2 linked regions of the Styela clava genome follow. Each later gene encodes a partner of the first gene's protein in a complex. Links are inferred from orthologs where the notes say so. Each region holds a gene or a part of one and is shown on either strand. Other genes may lie near its edges.

Region 1 (3,931 bases):
AAAAATATATAGAATCAAATTCAACACAAAAAATTTGACAAAACCAGGGGAAACACTTTGTGGGAGTGATGATGCCTCAGTATAGTACGGTATCACTCTGCTTCTGTCACGCGTGGCCTATTCGTTTGAGCCAGGGATTTTCGGTTACTGATGCCGATAACTTACCGCTCTACCGTATGTCGTATAAGGTAAGAAATGTATGGCAGTAGAAATACCGTACCGCTGTACCGGTAAACTACATAACGTGGGCTTCACGGGTTTGAATACAGTGCTTTGACAACCCCAGGGCTGTAGGGTAGACTGAGTACGGTACCGTAACTTAACGAACGCGAACTGGCGAACGGTAAGACTGTGCTGTCAACTCTTTACAAAATCGCAAAATCGTGTCTAATTGATGAATTGGTTAATACTGTAATAACTGAATAAGGTAATCTGATAAAAATACATGGTTTATAGATTATATTACAGTATTGGGACAGTGGTATGTATAAAACAGGTCAAATTTTTTTCCAGCAAAATCTGATAAAAACAACATTGTAGCCTCAACTCCATAATTCCGGTAATTCATTATTTGTACGATTAAAATGTGTTTGCGAGTTTCGTGGCCCATGAAGGTTTTTGAAAGCCTAAAAGTTCCAATGGCAAATACGGTACCGGTAGGTCTAATTGCAATATGCAGAACTGTAATTTGAATATTGACATCGGTCAAAATCCGATCGGAACAGATCTGCAGATTGTATCGGATTGGAAATTATGTTAGATTTGTATTGGATTCAAACAATTCCAGTCTAATAAATAGTAATGATACTCAGCAAATCTATGTATATCTCTTCTTTCAGTCTTTTGTTTTGGTAATTACCGAAGAACAAAAAAACGCTGAAATTACGGTTGCGTGTACAGTCAGACAGTGCATTTATAGATTGCACTTTTTTTTAGTTTATTTTCCAGTGCCATTTTGACATTTTGAGTCAAAATGAGAGTGGGAGTGGTGACTCCTCTGCGGCCCATGGGCCGGGGCCACGGCCCATCGAATTGGGCCTCGGCCCATCAGGCTATGGGCCGCGGCCCATCAAGTTGTGTAAAGAAACTATTCACTTGGCTAACACAGACAGTCCCCGAACTCATAATAGAACTATAATGTAAAAAATCTGAATTTTTTTTGTCCTAACCCTAACCTGGTACACATACTACAGGAGTATATTTTTTTGGTTCGAGTATTGACAATTTGGTGAAAATTGAAAATTTTGTTAAGATAATTGAATTTTTTCTGATTTGGCCACGGCCCATGTGGCCCAATTAGATGGGCTGTGGCCCCGGCCCATGGGCCGTAGAGGAGTCACCACTCCTGTAGTAAAATGGAGGCTCAGACTGTCTCATAAAGGAAGGAATTTGCCCTCACTGTTACAATTGATGTCATTCAATGTGGGGGCTATTCTTGGAATCTTCATGCCATACTGCTGTCCTGGTGGTAATGTGCATATTTTTACTGTATCACCACCTAATAAGCAATGTTACTTTTCATTTTAGATGTATTTATATCATTTAATTAAATTGTTATTAATTGCATAGAGTTATGTATAACAATGATCAACTAAAGACCAAACTCTCCGAAGACTATTTCTGACGATATGGCGAAGCTTTTTGAATACCGGTATACAGAGCGTGTGGAGAAGACTTATTACAATCATGGATTGTTTATGTCAAATCATCCTGTATTGATGATATGCATATCTGCAGTAGTTATGCTATGTTGCTGGTAAGTCACCCATGACTTTTTAAGACAATTTCTTCTTATTTGTGCAAATCAAAAGTTTAGGATATTTTAAGGCAGATTTGCCTCTATATATATAAATTTTTCATATAATACATGGAGAGAAGTTTAAAAATTAACTTAATAATAAGGCGAACCATGTTCTCTTGTCTCGTTTGGTTCCATTTTTCTAATGTATGGTCATGTCTGGTAGAGTAAGCGATAGCAAATGATGAAGCATAATCTTTTCTTTTGGCGGGCCGCAAAAACTTTTCAGGATGTCTCGCGGGCCGCAGTCGGAAAGATGAACCCAAATATGATCAAAACATCACGAGTATACTCACTTAAAATACTATATATTTAGAAATGAGAGTTTACTGTTCTAATCAGTTGAAGGGAGATATATAAAACCTTCAGTTATTTTTAAAATGCTTCCCGAAAAATACCTTGGTATTACGGTATAATATTTCCTCGTGTTTGGTTTTGTAATGTCGCTTCAAATTAGAGTCTTTCGTGACAGATATTACTTGAAAACACACCAGACACTGTATCATAACGTTGTTGTGGGTTAGGAAATACGGCGTCCTCACAGTTGACTTCGGTCACTTTTTTTACACTCATTGTATGATGAATCTTTATATTTGACTAATTTTATTACTCGCAGCGTGAGCAGTTCTGGTATCTTCTGGCTATCGTCAAAGAACAACCAAGTCCGTCTAAGTTGGGACTCTGGACCAGCTAAAAAAATGGATCGCTTGGCGCTAAGTCAGCTCTGCGGTTGGTCACTGCTGTCACATGGCCAGTGCTTGAAAATATAGGAGTGTTTTTACTAAAATAGTAGCACAAAACGTCTCTCCAAATGAGGAGTTAGGCTACTTGACGAGAGCTTAAAGTACGAAGTTTAGATAAAAAGCGCGACTCATCTCATCGGCTTGGTCCTAACTGCACAAGACAATCCATTCACCTTGTACCAATCACAGGACGTCATTCCCATATTGGCACCGTCTTGACGTTTATAGCTACAACATTCAAATTCTGTGATTTTAACAAACATGAATTCCGACATCGGGATTAGGAAAAAGGGTATTCTCAAGTGCAATAGTTTAGAAAATAACTCAAGTTTTGCCAGTAAATACAAATATCTGCGAATGATTTAGTGCACGCTAAAATTGCTCTGCAGGCCGCAGGGAATGTGTCGGCGGGCCGCGGTTTGGACCACCCTGTGCTAGGCTATTGATATTCTTAATCTTTGCTTTTTCAGCAGATGTTGCAGAAGTTTGGTATTTACATTTTTATCTGGTATGAACACTAATTACATATTGCTAGTTTCATTTCTCATATTGATTGATTATTTGAATTCTTCTGTTTGTGTGCTGGCAGCAAAATTCGGTAATAGGATTTCTGCTACTGCTGTGATTCTTTGAAGAAGAAATTGAAATATATAAAGTACGACCATAAAGTCTTTTTTACAATATAGAAAATGTGTAATTAGATTATCACTTGCTTGTAATTACCTCCTTTTCATTTTAGCTACCCCTTATTGAATCTCCCTCTACCTGGAAGTGAGCCAACAGAATTTCTTACTCCTTTATCAGACTTCAGTCAAGGACTTTACACAGCAGGAAAAAATTTACCGTATTCAAGTCGTGATGTTCCGGTGGATTTACCACAATGGGTTTGTTGTTTTTCCATTCTATGAGAATCTCCCCAAATATGGGCATGGTGGCCGAGCTTATCAAGCATTACCTAATTAACTGTGATGGTATCGCAAGTTAAAATGTTGGGGTCAAATCCCATGCACACCACCTCACATAGGGTGTAATAAATCGGGTATGCAAGGCCGAAATGGATTCTGGTTTCTCCAAAAAAAGTAGATTTTTCCATATCATTAGATATCAGTGCGAGTCCTTGTTCAGATCGAAAAGCGTGATTAGGCGTCGTATAAAAAAAAATTCTGAAACAGTAATAGGACAAGATGATACATTCTTGCATCACTGTTGCCACCACTCATGCCTCATTTCCTTTGGTGATCGATTCCCTGCATCCTTGTAATAACATCTAATTTGGATCATTCTTGTATGTTGTATCGAAATTATTATCTTTCCAACATAAGATTATCGTCAATAACCATTTAAGTCACAGTAAAAGTATGAAGAAATGTTGAAGTTACAACATATCTCA
Region 2 (3,931 bases), on another chromosome or scaffold:
TGAATAATGATAACAGCATGCTATGATTTACTCGATTTCATTAATATAAAAATGCATAGGCCTACCATATCACCATACGATTTAGGGAACAAATATAGGGTGAATATTTTGCGTATGTTATATATTGTCCACCGCATGTAAATTATTTTTATATTTATTCCGGGGTAATCATGTGGCGAGCCACGCCTCTCGTCCGGTTGCCGGTTCATGTCGGGCATGGGGTGGAGGAGAGAGAGGGAGATTTCATTAAACAACACAACACTAACCGGCGTACTCCTGGGTACTCCTGAGGTATGCGCACCAAGATGTCGCATAACCTGAACCCTAACCTGGTACACAACCGGAGTTATGCGCCATCTCGGTGCGCATACTTCAGGAGGTCCCAATGATGAATATAAAAGCCACAGTTTCGGATAATATTGTCCTGTGTGGGTTTGCAAAATCGACGAAGATTGTGAAGGCCCTAAAAACTATGGATATCATTTTATTGAATTATATTATAGGACAAAAATCATAGTAACACAGCTTCTGTGTCAATAGATGTTAAAAATATCCCCCAGGTTCAAGTATTCAATACATAATGATTAAAGCAGAAGAACCACTCATTATGCACTGTATTATTTAAGAGCGGGTAGGCTACAGTGCTTCTGTTTCATGCTGTTTCCATGTGTTTTGCGCAGTTTCCCTCTGTTTTGTGCTGTACGGCAGGAGAGTGCAACCTTTTTCACTGGCGTGCCAAATTCAAGAAACTGAGTAAAGCCGCGGGCCGCACCTTTATTTATTATAGACTTTCTAGTAGTTACAAGCACAAAAATTGTTTATATTTTCTATAGTCACCTTATGTCATTATTAGGGTTTCTTGCAGAAATAGTGAGTTAAACGTATAAACTTCTGAAGAAACTGCTATTTAAATTTATCGCCACACCGACTTTAATGCAAGTCAGTGAGAAACACGTTTTTGTAATATATATTGTATATTTTGCAAGAAAACTTTGCTAGCTGGTTTTGCTAATACAACAGTGGCACTCAGGCACTGGTATAGGCTTTGTGGCGCAGAAGGATTAGAATTTCTCGCACGTACCATATTACCTAAACTAAATGCTCGTTTCACGGGCACGCCATTCAAAGTTGTTATTTCTCCGCGGACCGCACAAATTTTTCTTGCGGGCCGCATTTGGCCCGCGGGCCGCAGTTTGCACACCCCTGCTGTACGGTATCCTTCTGTTTCCCTCTGTTCCCTCTGTTCTGCGCTGTTCACCTCTGTTTTGCGCTCTTTGCAGCGTTTCGCGCTGTATCCATCAAAGTGAATTATAGTCTCTTTGGTATTCAGTAAGTTGTGAGACCATCGGTTAGCTAAGGTAGGTTAGGACAGTACTGCAGTAGGAAAAAATGACTAGCCAAACGTTATATACGGTACCGGTACGGTACTGATATACATAATATACTGGTTTTACTCCAAGAATATTAGGGTACCGAACCAGTTTCCTGCTTTCAGGCTTTGCATGTTCCGGTACCGGTACAGCAGTTCAGGTAACTTTTGATACTTTCAAGAATTAAGGTGTACCGGTACCGGTACCGTATTACGGTACCGTACCGGTATATGATATCTGTGAACGCAGCAGTAGTTACACCTGTACACGGTGTATGAAAAAAATCATTCGTTACGTTGTTTATTTGGTTCTATTTCGTTATGCAATACAGCAATAGGTTACCTAACTTGGGTGTATTTACATTTTTGTAGCCTGGGCATGCATGTTATGAATCAAATAGTCTGATTGAAGGCCCGGATTTGACATGCGATTCTTAATACAGTAATACCACAAAACGGAGCAGTTAAGGAATTAAAAAAATTCATGAAATGGCTTTTACAACATCTGATCTACTTCGACTTCCGTTGCTTGTATTTTTTGATGCAATTGTGGCAAATAGAATCAACCTTTGGAGTTTTGGATTTATTGCTGGATATGCACTCTCTTGCATCGGTGAGTTAAGTGCTTAATATGGTGAATAAACAAGCCGTCATGTCAGTATGCATTTCATGCTTATAATATTACCTGTAAAAACTTATTCTATTATAAACAGTGAACCGTCGTGTTTTGGTATGAGATTGGACTGTTTCAACTTTGTTTTTACTATGATTGTGTATAATAAGGCCAAGTGCAGTTTTAAGTATTCTGTGGCATCTGCAGCTGCAGTAAAACCATGGCAGTATTTCCATACCATGGCCGCTACGGTCAAACTCATGGCAACTGACTTTTTAGCTGCCACAAACCAATGTCGAGCTGCCGTTACCGCGGCAGCAAATTGAAAACCAATGGCAGGTAAAATTTTGCTGCCGTAATCGCGGCATGTGGGCCGTAAAGACAGGGCTGTCTATTATGGTGACAAATATTGGGTAAGTTGGAACGTTTTTCTTATGGATACAGTTTTGATTGATTTGGGGTTAGGGTTAGGGTTTAAGTAGATATAATTCCACATGATCAATTAAAATCTGGTACATTAATTTGTGAATATACCGTTAATACTGATTACTGAATAGCGCTATAAAACCATGGCAAGAGCTGCCGCGGTTCGTTCGTGGCAGGAGCTGCCATGAAGTGGTAAGAACTGCGCCTCAATAAGGCCAAGAGCAGAGTGGAAGTGGTGACTCCTCTTCGGCCCATGGGCCGGGGCCACGGCCCATCAAATTGGGCCTAGGCCCATCAGGCTATGGGCCGCGGCCCATCAAGTTGTGTAAAGGAACTATTCACTTGGCTAACACAGACAGTCCCCAAACTCATAATAGAACTATAATGTAAAAAATCTGAACAAAATTTTGCCCTAACCCTAACCCGGTACACATACTACAGGAGTTTATTTTTTGGTTCGAATATTGTCAATTTTGTAAAAATTGAAAATTTTGGTAAGATAATTGAATTTTTCCTGACGGGGCCGCGGCCCATAGCTTGATGGGCCACGGCCCATGTGGCCCAATTAGATGGGCCGTGGCCCCGGCCCATGGGTCGTAGTGGAGTCACCACCCCTGTAGCAAGAGCATGCCTTTCAACACCAGTTACAATAACTGAGCGAACAGCTTTTATACGGTTTATAAGTCCACATATTTCCACTCTTCAGGACTAATTACCATAACTCATATTAGTGTATCAATATCAACTTTGTCAGTTCTGTAGTTTGTAATCCACTAGAATCGATTTGGAGTATCCTTGGAATTGCAAAGGGTTTTCTCGAAAATTGCTTCTCCGATACCATAAAGCAACATTTTCTAAGTTGTTTTACACATGTTCACAGGTTTATGCATCAGTATTGGAATATTCACCTGTCAACCTCCAATTATAATCAAATTCTACAGATTGACTGCTGCAATTTTGGTTCATTGTGTAGTACTGGGATGGAATTATTCAGTGACAAGACTAATTCACCATGATTATTATATCAATAATGTTTACAACAATTCAGCAATGAGCCAAATCAACGATTATATATGGAATGGAAAAGAATTACCATTTAGAGAGGTTGGAATATTTCGTATTTCTAATCAGTTTTGGCATAGGCACATCCAAAAAATTCAATTTCTAATTGAAAATTGCTGATATTTGAAGAACAATTAAATAAATCCAGATATGGTAATTTTCCTATTGAATGTTTAATTATATTCAATTGTGGTTTGAGAAAATTTAGTTTTTATTATTATTCACCCAGTGAAGTATTTATTCCAAACATGAATGGTAATTTAAACAAATTTTTTGTACAAGTTTTCTCTTACAATGTGGTGATTAACACCAATGGAAAAGCTGCAAGCGAATACTACCATGCTTAATGCTATAGTGGTATTTTATCCATGTAACAGAGTTAGAGAGATGTCAGTAGAAAACAGGTGAAATGAGAGATGAGGCTGAAACAATTTGAGACAAAAGTGTAAAAACTACAGCTA

Evidence for each region.
Region 2: sterol regulatory element-binding protein cleavage-activating protein-like (region 1) and E3 ubiquitin-protein ligase RNF139-like share a complex: the UniProt entries of both Homo sapiens proteins name them as parts of the SCAP-SREBP complex. The link is inferred for Styela clava from reciprocal best matches to the Homo sapiens genes SCAP and RNF139.

The regions. Positions count from the first base shown.
Region 1 is NC_135259.1:11,967,610-11,971,540, forward strand, and holds the start of sterol regulatory element-binding protein cleavage-activating protein-like, read left to right. Parts: upstream 1-1,536; 5' UTR 1,537-1,628; coding exon 1,629-1,756; intron 1,757-3,280; coding exon 3,281-3,425; intron 3,426-3,931. UniProt on the Homo sapiens protein: Escort protein required for cholesterol as well as lipid homeostasis.
Region 2 is NC_135256.1:9,430,360-9,434,290, forward strand, and holds the start of E3 ubiquitin-protein ligase RNF139-like, read left to right. Parts: upstream 1-1,639; 5' UTR 1,640-1,858; coding exon 1,859-1,982; intron 1,983-3,288; coding exon 3,289-3,512; intron 3,513-3,931. UniProt on the Homo sapiens protein: E3-ubiquitin ligase; acts as a negative regulator of cell proliferation through mechanisms involving G2/M arrest and cell death.